2 linked regions of the Anolis sagrei genome follow. The protein of the gene in region 2 interacts with the protein of the main gene of each other region in a pairwise test. Links are inferred from orthologs where the notes say so. Each region holds a gene or a part of one and is shown on either strand. Other genes may lie near its edges.

What was found. The genes of interacting proteins can lie anywhere in the genome.
Region 1: the proteins of ARHGEF11 (region 2) and PLXNB2 interact in a two-hybrid assay, tested with the Homo sapiens proteins (2 studies listed by BioGRID). The link is inferred for Anolis sagrei from reciprocal best matches to the Homo sapiens genes ARHGEF11 and PLXNB2.

What each region holds. Positions count from the first base shown.
Region 1 is NC_090025.1:125,303,189-125,310,336, reverse strand, and holds the start of PLXNB2 (plexin-B2), read left to right. Parts: upstream 1-4,077; 5' UTR 4,078-4,348; intron 4,349-7,148.
Region 2 is NC_090032.1:11,724,160-11,731,306, forward strand, and holds the start of ARHGEF11 (rho guanine nucleotide exchange factor 11), read left to right. Parts: upstream 1-4,048; 5' UTR 4,049-5,231; coding exon 5,232-5,266; intron 5,267-7,147. UniProt on the Homo sapiens protein: May play a role in the regulation of RhoA GTPase by guanine nucleotide-binding alpha-12 (GNA12) and alpha-13 (GNA13). Acts as guanine nucleotide exchange factor (GEF) for RhoA GTPase and may act as GTPase-activating protein (GAP) for GNA12 and GNA13.

The DNA of each region.
Region 1 (7,148 bases), on a different chromosome or scaffold from region 2:
CGCATGCCTTTGTTGATAGTGTCTATCCATCTTTTCTTTGGCTGTCCACGTGGTCATCGTTCCACAATCTCCAAATATAGTGCTGTTTGTGCTACTGGTGCTGGTTCTAATATCATGACATGGCCATACTACCATAGTCTTGCTTCTTGCATTTTCTTGCAAATTGCTTTTATTCCTAGTCTTTGACTGATGTCCTCATTTGGCACATGGTTAAGAAGTGTCAAGCCAAGTGTCCATCTCAACATTTCCATTTCCATTGTGTTAAGGGCTTGTTCATGTTTCTTTGTTGCTGGCCTCTTAAAGTGCCTCTTAGCCTTGAGTTGTTCAGGCATTTTTGTGTCACACAGAATGCTAGTAGTTTGCTGCCATATGGAGCAGGCTGCATTTATTCATGACCGTATGTCTGTGGAGACCAGTGACCCTAGGTATTTAGATTGGGTGGCCTTCTTTAGTGCTTGCCCATTAATTTGAATTGTTTTTCCAGTTTGAAGGCCACATTCCAGATACCCATGTCTATTCTACAGCAGAGGTGCACATCAAGAGTTTTTCCCCCCATTGATGGAAGCTTTGTTGTTTTAACACTTTTTGTTTTTAAAGAAGCAATTCTAAGCAGGCAGCCACTGTAATGAACACCTTGGGGGGGGGGGGGGGGGCAAATTTCAAAGAGGGAACTTTTGCCACTACACAAGTCAATTCACCAGCAAATGCTCTCTTTTTTTGTTTCAGGGTTTTGAAAAGTGAGGTGCGAATTAGATTTGGATACAGATCTGAAGCAGCAAGGAGTACAAGCAGAGTGCATCAACATCATCCAAGCATGCTATAGTGAATGTACAACAACACTAATGCATTTCAAACAAGAAGTTGTTATATCTGTAGAAAAAGGTGTATGCCAAGGTGATCCCAACCTTTTTCCTGCTGCTCTGGAAAGTGTAAAAAGAGGCTGTAATTGGTTGAACAAAAGTATACTCATCGATGGGCACAGGCTTAATATCATGTGCTTCATCAACGACATAGTTTTAATCATGCATACAGAAGATTCAGAAGCCTGCAGCATGTTTAGCGAGCTTTGTAGCAGAAGTCGGTCAACTGAATTAAAGATGAACACACAAGAGACAAAGGTATTCTGAAACAACTTCGCAGATGCTGCTGCAATGACAGTAGATGGCGTCAACCTCGAAAATGTAGAATATGTCTACCTCGGAAAGCTGTTAACATCAAGATATGGACTGAAGCCGGAGTGGAACAGACACAGGAAAGCAGGATGGGTTGCTTACAATTCCATTAAAACTGCTATGGACTCAATTGAAAGTACATCTGTATGAGCTCAATTGTTCGATCATGCTACTGCCCCATGCTATGGTGCAGAGACATGGACAATGACGAAGGCTCTCTCAGAACAACTATTGGTCACACATGCCACCCGCAAAAAATGGCTCATTGGGATGTCTCATTGAACTCAGAGAGAACATGGACTGCACAATGAGGATGTTCAAAAAATATCAAAAGTGAAAGATCCTCTACGTTGCCCAATTCAAACATCGTTTTGCAGGACACGTGATGCGCAGAACAGGTGCCATGACAATATGGTACCTGTGGGGATGGAAGAGACCTCTTGGTTGTCCTCCCACCTGATGATCTGACTCATTCTGTATGGTGTATAATGTGAGGGATGAACATGGTTGCACAATGGTACACTGGTCAACTTATGCTCGAAATAGATGTGAATGGAGGTGATTAGAGAAGATGTTGTGATCTTCTGTTGCAGCAGCTCCACTGGCTGCCAGTCTATTACCAGGCTCAATTTAAAGTACTAGTTATGACCTTTAAACGCCTAGGCGGTTCGGGTCCAGGATATCTGGCTGACCGCATCCCCTTGTACCCACCTCCTTCGGCCCTGAGATCTTCAGAAGAGGCCCCTTTCTTGATCCCACCTCCATCTCAAGCTCAATTGATGGGAACGAGAGAGTGGTCTTTCCTTCTCGGTGGCTGGCCTTTGACACTGGAACTCCCTTCTTCCCAGGGAAGCCAGAAGGGCCCTCTCTCTGCTGTCCTTCTGGTTGCAGGCTAAACCATTTTATTCAGACAGGCATTTAAAGATTAAAGTGTTTAAGATCTAGTTAGATGGTGCTGTGTAAGATGTAAGAAAAGTAAGATGGTCTACATTTCCTTGTGAATTATTATTAGTCAGAGGGTGCTGTGGTTTTTAACTTTGAATATGTTTTGATATTCAACTGAATATATTTGGTGCACAGCCATCATTGTTTGAGTCTGCAGTGCTTTCTGGATGTAGGTGAACTACATCTTCAAAACTCAAGATCAATGCCCACCAAACCCTTCCAATGTTTTCTGTTGGCCATGGGAGTTCAGTGTGTCAAGATTGGTTCAGTTTCATCGTTAGTGGAGTTCAGAATGCTCTTTGATTGTAGCTGAACTGTATATCTCAGCAAGTACAACTCCCAAATGACAAAATCAATCCCCCCAACCAAACCAGTATTCAGATTTGGATGTATTTGTGCAAAATTTGGTCCACTGAATGAAAATATATTACAATTCTTAACACTCGCAATATTACAGTTATGAAGTAGCAATGAAAATAATTTTATGGTTGGGGGCCACCACAACATCAGGAGCTGTATTAAGGGGTTGTGGCATTAGGAAGGTTGAGAAACATTGACTTAGGTTGTGAATAAGGGAAGAGACCACGTGGTCCAGAGAGAAAGGAGGAGAGGGTTAGGATAAGGTTTGGGGTTAGGGTTTGGGGTAGGGTTACGATTAGGGTTAGGGGTTAGGTTTTGGGTTAGGATTAGGGTTTGGGTTAGGGTAAGGTTTAGGGCAAGGGTTAGGGTTTGGGTAAGGGTTTAACCATGAAAGAACTCTTACATTCCTTCTATAATATCTGTGTTCCGTTCTGCATTGCGCAAACAGTACTCCCGAAGTGGAAACAGTGTAACCTTCGGAGCAGGCCCGTAGCCAGGATTTTGATTCGGGGGGGGGGGGGCTGAGTCTGAGTGAAAGAGGGTCTACCCTAGCAAAGCTTTTGTTTTGTTACCCCAATGCCCCCATGCATATGAGATATATTGAGCATGGTGATCAGATCATGATATGAATAAACATAACAGTTTAAATAATGTACCAGTAAGGCCTTTTCACAGACCACCATGAGAATTTTGGGGGGGGGGGTGAAGCCCCCAAAGCCCCCCCCCCCCCCCCGCTATATGCCTGCTTCGGAGCTTCCGGACCAGCTATCATACTATCACCCATTGGTGGAAGCCCCTGGTGGCAGGACTGAAGATTGACAAGTCGCAGGTTCAAATCTGGGGACAGCACAGATGAGCTCCCTCTATCAGCTCCAGCTCCTCATGTGGGGACATGAGAGAAGCTTCCCACAAGGGTGGCAAAACATCCGGTCCTCCCCTGGGCAACGTCCTTGCAGATGGCCCATTCTCTCACACCAGAAGTGACTTGCAGTTTGTCAAGTCGCTCCTTACACGACAAAAAAACAAACCTAATGGTGGCTTGTTCTTGGTCTTGCAGCTCTTCTGATGCCTGTTTTGGAGTACCCATTGGCCTGTAAAGCGCAGTTCAGGCGGTTCAGTTCACCTTGGAGGAGGTGGGGTTCGCAGGTTGTGTCTTAAAGGGAGAGAAAGTGGGCTCTGCATAGGGCTAACCACTTAGCATCATAACGTCACTGTCACAGTGTGGGCACACAGGTCTTTTGGTCGGTTTCTGAGGCTCCTGCTTGGCCTCAGGACCCCATTGTCCCTCTCTCCCTTTCCACGTCAGGCGAGGGGAAACGAAACGGTGCGGTGTGAGGCAAAGGAGAGCGCCTTGCAAGCGTTGGGGACAAAGGTCTTTCTGAGGTGGAAGGAGGAGGAGGGCGAAGGCAGGGAGGAGGCGTGTTTGTCCGCTCCGAGCGCTGCCTTTGTGGCGGCGAGGCTACAGGTGCGCCTGGGCCCGCCTTTTTTCCTTCCTTCCTTCTCGGGGCAGGGCTGGCAGCAGAGAGAGAGAGAGAGAGAGAATGGGGAGAGAGGCGGGCCGAGCCGTCATGTGATGCGCCCAACGCGGGCTGGGCGGCGTGCCTTCCCTCCTCCTCCTCCTCCTCTTCCCTCCTTCCTTCAGTCTGAGCCTTCCCTCTCCTCCTCTCCGCCGCCGCGGTTCCTGCTCTCCCTGCGGCTCCTCTTGGATATGGACAGCGCTTCGGCGGCGGTGCTGGCCGGCGCGCCTTGCCTCCTTCTCCGGGGGCGGATGCTCGGCTGAGGAGAGACACAAGGAGGAAGAGGAGGAGGAGGAGAGGCGGCTGAGGCTGAGGCAGCACACAAAGGCGCCCCCTCCCTGCCCCTCAACTTGGGTAAGTTTCCCTCCCGCTTCTCTCTTCCTTCTTCCCTTCGCCCGCCTCTCTTCCCACCTGTTGAAAGGCTTTTTGGAAGGGGACGAAGGCGTGCCCCCCTCCCCAACATACAAACAGCCCCCCCCCCCTTGTAGGGCTTGCGGAGGGCGACTTCCAGCAAATGGCGAGCGAGGGAGTTGCCCCCGAGTGAGTCCCTTCTTGCTCTCTGGAAGGAGGCCCGAAGTTGTGGCCACTGCTCGCCTCGTTTGGGAGCGGATTCCCCACTTTTCTCTCCCTGGCTTCCTCTCCTCCTTCCCCGGCTTTCCCCCTCCCTCTTTCCCCTCTATCTCTCCCTCCACAGCCAACCAAATCGGAATGTCTTCTTCCTTGTTTGCAAGAGCAGATGGTTTCCATTAAGGGTGAAAGAAAAAAAAAAAAAAAAAGGAAAAGAGAGCCCTTTGCCTCTCTCTCTCTCTTGGGCTGAACCAAAGCCTGTGTTGGCGAGCGTTACTTAGCAGCCGGCGTTTGCAAAATGTGAAACTTTCCCATGGATTGTTGTCTGGTTTTCCCCCCTCTTCTGATCGAGCTAGTATCATTTTTTATTTCTGATCTTTTATTATCTGTCTACAATCGACACTGGTGGGTTGCTGTGAGTTTTCCGGGCTGTATGGCTATGTTCCAGACGCATTCTCTCCTGACGTTTCATCCACATCTATGGCAGGCATCCTCAGAGGTTGTGAGGTCTGTTGGAAACTAGGCAAGTGAAGTATGTGTATCTATACACCTCTTTTGTTGGGAGGTGTTAGCTGGCCCTGATCGTTTCATGTCTGGAATTCCCCTGTTCAGGGCCAGCTAACACCTCCCAACAAAAGAGGTATAGAGATACACATATTTCACTGTGTTAGCTGGCCCTGATTGTTTCATGTCTGGAATTCCCCTGGTCCAGAGTGAGAGAAAGAACTGTTGTCTGTTGGAAGCAAGTGTGAATGTTGCAATTAATCACCTTGATTGGTATTGAAAGGCTTTGCAGCTTCAAAGCCTGACTGATTCCTGCCTGAGGGAATCCTTTGTTGGGAGGTGTTAGCTGGCCCTGATTGTTTCATGTCTGGAATTCCCCTGTTCAGGGCCATCTAACACCTCCCAACAATAGATTCCCTCAGGCAGGAATCATCCAGTCTTTGAAGGTACAAATGCCATTAAATGCCAATCAAGCCGGCCAATTGTAACATTCACACTTCCAACAGACAAGAGTTCTTTCTCCCACCCTAGGCATTCCACAGATATATGGCCATGTTCCAGAAGCATTCTCTCCTGACACTTTGCCCTTCATCTATGGCAGGCATCTTCAGAGGTTGTGAAGTCTGTTGGAAACTAGGCAAGGGAGGTTTATATATCTGTGGAATGTCCTGGGTGGGAGAAAGAACTCTTGTCTGTTGGAAGTGTGAATGTTACAGTTGGCCACTTTGATTGGCATTTAATGGCCTTTGCAGCTTCAAAGCCTGACTGATTCCTGCCTGTGGGAATCCATTATTGGGAGGTATTAGCTGGCCCTGAGCAGGGGAATTCCAGACATGAAATAATCAGGGCCAGCTAACACCTCCCAACAGAGGATTCCCTCAGACAGGAATCAGTCAGGCTTTGGAGCTGCAAAGGCTTTCAATGGCAATCAAGGTGATTAATTGCAACATTCACACTTGCCTCCAACAGACAAGAGTTTTTTCTCTCACTCTGGACTGTCCCTAGATATATAAACCTCCCTTGCCTAGTTTCCAACAGACTTCACAACCTCTGAGGATGCCTGCCATAGATGAAGGGCAAAGCGTCAGGAGAGAATGCTTCTGGAACATGGCCATACAGCCCAGAAAACTCACAGCAATCCAGTGATTCTGGCCATAAAAGCCTTTGACAAGACACTAGTGGAGCTTTTCTGGTTTGAGCAATGTTAAGGAAAGATCCTGCCTTGAAGGTGGGGCATGGGAGAGAGACAGGCAAAAAGGGCACCCTCTCCTTTCTAATACCAGGCTTTTTTGAAGTGTTTTGGGAAGGGAATCCTCTTTCAGTTAGTGAGTCTTGAGACAGACAAGTTGGCAAAAATGCTATCATCCCCTTTTAGTACCATCTCAAATGCAGAAGTGTTGGAGAGAGATCATCCTTTAAGTTAGTGTCTGTGTTCCAGAGAGGCAGACAGATAGACAAAAATGCCACCCCACCTCCTTTGAATACCAGGCTTCTGAAATATAGAAGTGTTGGCAAGAGATTATCTTTTAAGTTTGTGTGTGTGTGTGTGTGCGTGTGCCAGAGAGGCAGGCAGATTGACAAAAATGCTACCCCCACCTCCTTTTAGTACCAGGCTTCTGAAATACATAAGTGTTGGCAAGAGATCATCTTTTAAGTTTGTGTGTGTATGTATGTGTTGGAGAGGCAGGCAGTTAGACATAAATGCCACCCAACCTCCTTTTAGTACCAGGTTTCTGAAATACAGTGGTGTTGGCAAGAGATCAGTTTTTAAAGTTTGTATGTATGTATGTGGCAGAGAGGCAGGCAGATAGACAGAAATGCCACCCCCACCTCCTTTTAGTACCCGGCTTTTAAAATATAGAACTGTTGGGGAAATGTGATCTTTAAGTTTGTGTCTGTGTGCCAAAAATGCCCTCTTTTAGGACCAGGATTGTGAAATATGGACTTGAGTTTTGTATACCACGCTATGACTGTATCCTCAAGAGTTTCATAATTGCCCATGCACCATTCAGATGATTAAAACCCAAGCACTCACAACCCATTTGTTTTCTTTTGTGGCGTGTGTGAATGACCCTCCCTTAGT
Region 2 (7,147 bases):
TGATAATGGTGGTGGTGGGGATGGCACCAAGGGGTTTGATGATGAGAATGATGGCAGTGAAGATGGCCATGAAGGAATCATTCAAGGGGCTTGATGATGAGGATGATGGTGATGGTGAGGATGGTAGCTAATACATTCAAGGGGTTTGATGATGAGGCTGATAGTGGTGAAGATGGCCATGAAGTTCTCATTCAAGGGGCTTGATGATGATGATAATGATGATGATGGTACGAAGAGGTTTGATGATGGGGATGATGGTGGTGAAGATGGCCATGAAGTTCTCATTCAAGGGGCTTGATGATGATGATAATGATGATGATGGTACGAAGAGGTTTGATGGTGGTGAAGATGGCCATGAAGTTCTCATTCAAGGGGCTTGATGATGATGATAATGATGATGATGGTACGAAGAGGTTTGATGATGGGGATGATGGTGGTGAAGATGGCCATGAAGGAATCATTCAAGGGGTTTGATGATGAGAATGATGGTGGTGGTGAGGATGGTAGCTAATACATTCAAGGGGTTTGATGATGAGGCTGAGAGTGGTGAAGATGGCCATGAAGTTCTCATTCAAGGGGCTTGATGATGATGATAATGATGATGATGGTACGAAGAGGTTTGATGAGGAGGAGGATGGTGGTGAAGATACCATGAAGGAATCATTCAAGGGGCTTGATGATGATAATAATGATGATGGTACGAAGAGATTTGATGATGATGATGATGATAATGATAATGATGGTACGAAGAGGTTTGATGAGGAGGGTGATGGTGGTGAAGATGACCATGAAGGAATAATTCAAGGGGTTTGATGATGAGGATGATGGTGGTGAAGATGGCCATGGAATTCTCATTCAAGGGGCTTGATGATGATGATGATGATAATGATGATGGTGGTATGAAGGGGATCATGAGGATGATGGTGGTGGTGGGGTTGGTAGCTAATGCATTCAAGGGGTTTGATGATGAGGATCATGGTAGTGAAGATAGCCATGACGTTCTCATTCAAGGGGCTCGATGATGATAATAATGATGATGATGGTACGAAGGGGTTTGATTATGAGGATGATGGTGGTGAAGATGGCCATGAAGGAATCATTCAAGGGCCTTGATGATGATGATAATGATGACGATGAGGATGGCACCAAGGGGTTTGATGATAAGGATGATGGTGGCGAAGATGGCCATGAAGTTCTCATTCTAGGGGCTTGATGATGATGGTGGGGGGAGGGGGTGTGGCTCCAAGGTGTTTTGATCATGAGGATGATGGTGGTGAAGATGGCCATGAAGGAATCATTCAAGGGGCTTGATGATGATGATAATGATAATGATGATGATGGTACGAAGAGGTTTGATGATGAGGCTGATAGTGGTGAAGATGGCCATGAAGTTTCATTCAAGGGGCTTGATGATGATGATGATACTGATGATGATGGTACGAAGGGGTTTGATGATGAGGATGATGGTGGTGAAGATGGCCATGAAGGAATCATTCAAGGGGCTTGATGATGATGATAATGATGATGATGGTACGAAGAGGTTTGATGATGAGGCTGATAGTGGTGAAGATGGCCATGAAGTTTCATTCAAGGGGCTTGATGATGATGATGATACTGATGATGATGGTACGAAGGGGTTTGATGATGAGGATGATGGTGGTGAAGATGGCCATGAAGTTCTCATTCAAGGGCCTTGATGATGATGATAATGATGACGATGAGGATGGCACCAAGGGGTTTGATGATGAGGATGATGGTGGTGAAGATGGCCATGAAGGGGCTTGATGATGATAATAATGATGATGATGGTACGAAGAGGTTTGATGATGGGGATGATGGTGGTGAAGGTGGCCATGAAGTTCTCATTCAAGGGGCTTGATGATGATGATAATAATGATGATGGTACGAAGAGGTTTGATGATGGGGATGATGGTGGTGAAGGTGGCCATGAAGTTCTCATTCAAGGGGCTTGATGATGATGATGATAATGATGATGATGGTACGAAGAGGTTTGATGATGGGGATGATGGTGGTGAAGATGGCCATGAAGTTCTCATTCAAGGGGATTGATGATGATGATAATGATGATGATGGTACGAAGAGGTTTGATGATGGGGATGATGGTGGTGAAGATGGCCATGAAGTTCTCATTCAAGGGGCTTGATGATGATGATAATAATGATGATGGTACGAAGAGGTTTGATGATGGGGATGATGGTGGTGAAGGTGGCCATGAAGTTCTCATTCAAGGGGCTTGATGATGATGATGATAATGATGATGATGGTACGAAGAGGTTTGATGATGGGGATGATGGTGGTGAAGATGGCCATGAAGTTCTCATTCAAGGGGATTGATGATGATGATAATGATGATGATGGTACGAAGAGGTTTGATGATGGGGATGATGGTGGTGAAGATGGCCATGAAGGAATCATTCAAGGGATATGATGATGAGGATGATGGTGATGGTGAGGATGGTAGCTAATACATTCAAGGGGTTTGATGATGATGCTGATAGTGGTGAAGATGGCCATGAAGTTCTCATTCAAGAGGCTTGATGATGATGATAATGATGATGATGGTACGAAGAGGTTTGATGATGGGGATGATGGTGGTGAAGATGGCCATGAAGGAATCATTCAAGGGGTTTGATGATGAGGATGATGGTGGTGGTGAGGATGGTAGCTAATACATTCAAAGGGTTTGATGATGAGGCTGATAGTGGTGAAGATGGCCATGAAGGAATCATTCAAGGGACTTGATGATGATAATAATGATGATGATGGTACAAAGGGGTTTGATGATGAGGATGATGGTGGTGAAGATGGTCATGAAGTTCTCATTCAAGGGGCTTGATGATGATCATAATGATGATGATGATGATGGTATGAAGAGGTTTGATGATGAGGATGATGGTGGTGAAGATGGCCATGAAGGAATCATTCAAGGGGCTTGATGATGAGGATGATGGTGATGGTGAGGATGGTAGCTAATGCATTCAAGGGGTTTGATGATGAGGATGATGGTGGTGGTGAGGATGGTAGCTAATGCATTCAAGGGGTTTGATGATAAGGATGATGGTGGTAAACATGGCCATGAAGTTCTCATTCAAGGGGCTTCATGATGATGATAATGATGATGATGGTACGAAGAGGTTTGATGATGGGGATGATGGTGGTGAAGATGGCCATGAAGTTCTCATTCAAGGGGCTTGATGATGATAATAATGATGATGATGGTACGAAGGGGTTTGATGATGATAATAATGATGATGATGGTACGAAGAGGTTTGATGAGGATGATGGAGGTGAAGATGGCCATGAAGTTCTCATTCAAGGGGCTTGATGATGATGATGATGATAATGATGATGATGGTACGAAGAGGTTTGATGATGAGGATGATGGTGGTGAAGATGGCCATGGAATTCTCATTCAAGGGGCTTGATGATGATGATGATGATGATAATGATGATGGTGGTACGAAGAGGTTTGATGAGGAGGAGGATGGTGGTGAAGATGATAATGATGATGGTGGTACGAAGAGGTTTGATGAGGAGGAGGATGGTGGTGAAGATGATAATGATGATGGTGGTACGAAGAGGTTTGATGAGGAGGAGGATGGTGGTGAAGATGGCCATGAAGTTCTCATTCAAGGGGCTTGATAATGATAATAATGATGATGATGATGGTATGAAGAGGTTTGATGATGAGGATGATGGTGGTGAAGATGGCCATGAAGGAATCATTCAAGGGGTTTGATGATGAGGATGATGGCAACCAATACTGAACCTTCCAGGGGCTTGATGAGGAGGAGGATGGCAACTAATACATTCAAATGGGGGGTTGAGAAGGCAAAGGAGAAGGGCAGCAAATGCCTTATGAAGGTGATGATGATGGTGATGATGAGGATGATGGTGGGGATGCCTCCCTCTTCCTTCCTTCCTTCCTTCCTCCCTTCCTTCCCTCCCACCTGCTGCTGCTGCAGAGCCAGGGAAGCTCTTCCTGAGGGCGGGAGGAGGAGGAGGAGGAGGAAAAGAGGAGGAGGAGGAGGGCGGCTGTGGGAGGGATTATCTGGGAAGAAGGAGGAGGAAGAGGAGGAAGGAGAGGAGAAGGACCGAAGGGCAGGCAAAACAGGCAGGCAGGCGGGCCTAGGAGCCAAGCCACTTGCGGGTTCGGCTCTCCTTTCCCAGACCGGTGCTGCTTCCCCTCCCGGAGCCGAGGAAGGTCGGGGAGCCTCCCTACGCGAGGCCGGGGCTTCGCCGCTCCCGCTAGGCCTCTCCTTGGATTTCCCTCACTGGGGAAGGGGAAAAGGAGGAGGAGGAAGGTGAAGAAGGAGGACCTTCTTCTTCCTCGGACCCCGAAGCCAAGCTGGAGCAAGAGGAGGAGGAGGAGAAGAAGAAGGGGAAGGACCCACCGCTTTGGAGGACATCTTGGGGCTTTGGAAGAAGAAGAAGAAGAGGAGGAGGAGGGGGTATCACTGTCCTCTGCTCAGCCCTTCATTGATTCCCCTTAGTCCTCTATCCTGTACCTGCCTTGGCAGGAAAAGAAGTTTGCAATTACCTTATTATTATTAATATTAATATTATGATGATTATTATGATGTGTATTTTGCTTTTCTTTCCTTGGGAGTGATTTGTTGCATGGCTTTTTATTTATTAGCCCAAAGGAAGGACAAGGGAGGCTGCTTGAGAGTGAAATTGGGCATCTTTTTGGCAACCTGAAGACACACAAACACAGAGAGAGACCCAGGAATACAGATCTTTTCCATTGTCCCCCCTTCCCTCTTCCAACAGGAAGGACAGCTGGGAAAACTGGATTATTAGGATGTTTTGATCCCTATGACTTTAATGTTTTGGACGGGAACGCGTCTTTATTCCACCGGGTAGTATTTATAACCTTGGACAAAGTTTGCAGAGTTGTTTGTATTTTTATTTTTGGGGGCAACCACTTCCCCAAGGCCCAGAATTGATAACCTTGGACAAGGTTTGCAAAGTTATTTGTATTTTTTATTTTATTTTTTGGGGCAACCACTTTCCCAAAGCCTGGAACGCTGCATGGATATAAGGATGGACTCAAAGGCTCCGCCGTCTTGACTGCAAGAGACTAGTTTTCCTCCTTTGTGGTTAGGATTGGTAATAAAAATCCGCATCTGCGCAAAGGAAAAAGGCGTGCAAGCAGCCAAAGGATCCACCGCTGGCCAACCCCGGCCTTCTGGATTTGACTACAAACCATGAACATGCGGCCACCTCAGACTGCATTGGACAGGTATGTCAAATAGACAGGTTTAGCTCTTCCTTTGCTTACCAAAAATGGTTTGTTGTTGTAGGCTTTCATGGCCGGAATCACTGGTTTGCTGTGAGTTTTCCGGGCTGTACAGCCATGTCCCAGAAGCATTCTCTCCTGATGTTTCATCCACATCTATGGCAGGCATCCTCTCCTGACGTTCCACCTACATCTATGGCAGGCATCCTCAGAGGCTGTGAGGTCTGTTGTTGAAGGCATTCCTGGCCGGAATCACTGGGTTGCTGTGAGTTTTCCAGGCTGTACAGCCATGTCCCAGAAGCATTCTCTCCTGATGTTTCTCCCACATCTATGACAGGCATCCTCAGAGGCTGTGAGGTCTGTTGTTGAAGGCCTTCCTGCCCAGAATCATTGGGTTGCTGTAAGTTTTCTGGGCTGTACAGCCATGTCCCAGAAGCATTCTTTCCTGATGTTTCTCCCACATCTATGGCAGGCATCCTCAGAGGCTGTGAGGTCTGTTGTTGAAGGCTTTCATGGCCCGAATCGCTGGGTTGCTGTGAGTTTTCCGGGCTGTACAGCCATGTCCCAGAAGCATTCTCTCCTGACGTTCCACCTACATCTATGGCAGGCATCCTCAGAGGCTGTGAGGTCTGTTGTTGAAGGCATTCCTGGCCAGAATCACTGGGTTGCTGTGAGTTTTCTGTACAGCCATGTCCCATAATAATAATAATATCACCACAATCTGTCAACTGCAAAAAGCCACCTGACTTGGATCTCCACACATCATTTGTAAATACATCATACAGTCCTAGACGCTTGGGAAGTGTTCGACTTGTGATTTTGTGGGGAATCCTTTGTTGGGAGGTGTTAGCTGGCCCTGATTGTTTCTTGCCTGGAATTCCCCTGTTGCAATTTGTCATCTTGATTAGCATTTAATGAGCCAGCTAACACCTCCCTACAAAGGATTCCCCTAAGCAGTAACCAGCCAGGCTTTGAAGCTGCAAAGCCATTCATTGCTAATCAAGGTGATCAGTTGCAGCATTCACACTTGCCTCAAAAAGACAAGAATTCTTCCTCCTACCCATAACGTCTGAGGATGCCTGCCATAGATGTGGGTGAAACGTCAGGAGAGAGTGCTTCTGGAACATGGCCAGACAGCCCGGAAAACTCACAGCAACCTAGTGATTCCGGCCATGAAAAGCCTTCGACAACACATTGTCTTTCTTTCCTCGGTTTCTTTGGCCAATGGATGAATGGGCCAGCGTCGGCCTATGTGTGTATATGCGGAGGCGATGTCCAGGTTTTTTGGCCTTTGCTCAAGGAAGGCATTGGTAATGGTCATACGACTTGGCGTCCCTTGTCTCTCCCTCTTTCTCTGAGAAATACTTTTTTTGGGTCCGTTCCACACGGAAAGATGTCATGAAGTAATTGAACTCCGTGCCACTTGTCACTTTTTCCTTTCGGTTTTTTCTTGAGTTGTCAAAGTTTTCATGGCTGGAATCACTGGGTTGTTGTGACTTTTCCGGGCTGTGTGGCCATGTTCCAGAAGCATTCTCTCCTGATGTTTCTCCCACATCTATGGCAGGTATCCTCAGAGGTTTAAGGGTCTGTTGGAAACTAGGCAAGTGAGATTTGGAAAAATGTCCAGAGTGGGAGAAAGAACTCTTGTCTGATTGAGGTAAGTGTGAATGCTGCAATTGATCACTTTGATTAGCATTGAATGGCCTTGCAGCTTCAAAGCCTGGCTGGCTACTGCTTGAGGGAATCCTCTGTTGGGAGGTGTTAGCTGGCCCATTAAGGAGCCCCCGATGGCACAGTGGGTTAAACCCGGCTGGTTCAAATCTGGGGAGAGCACGGATGAGCTCCTTGAATCAGCTCCAGCTCCTCATGCGGGAACATGAGAGA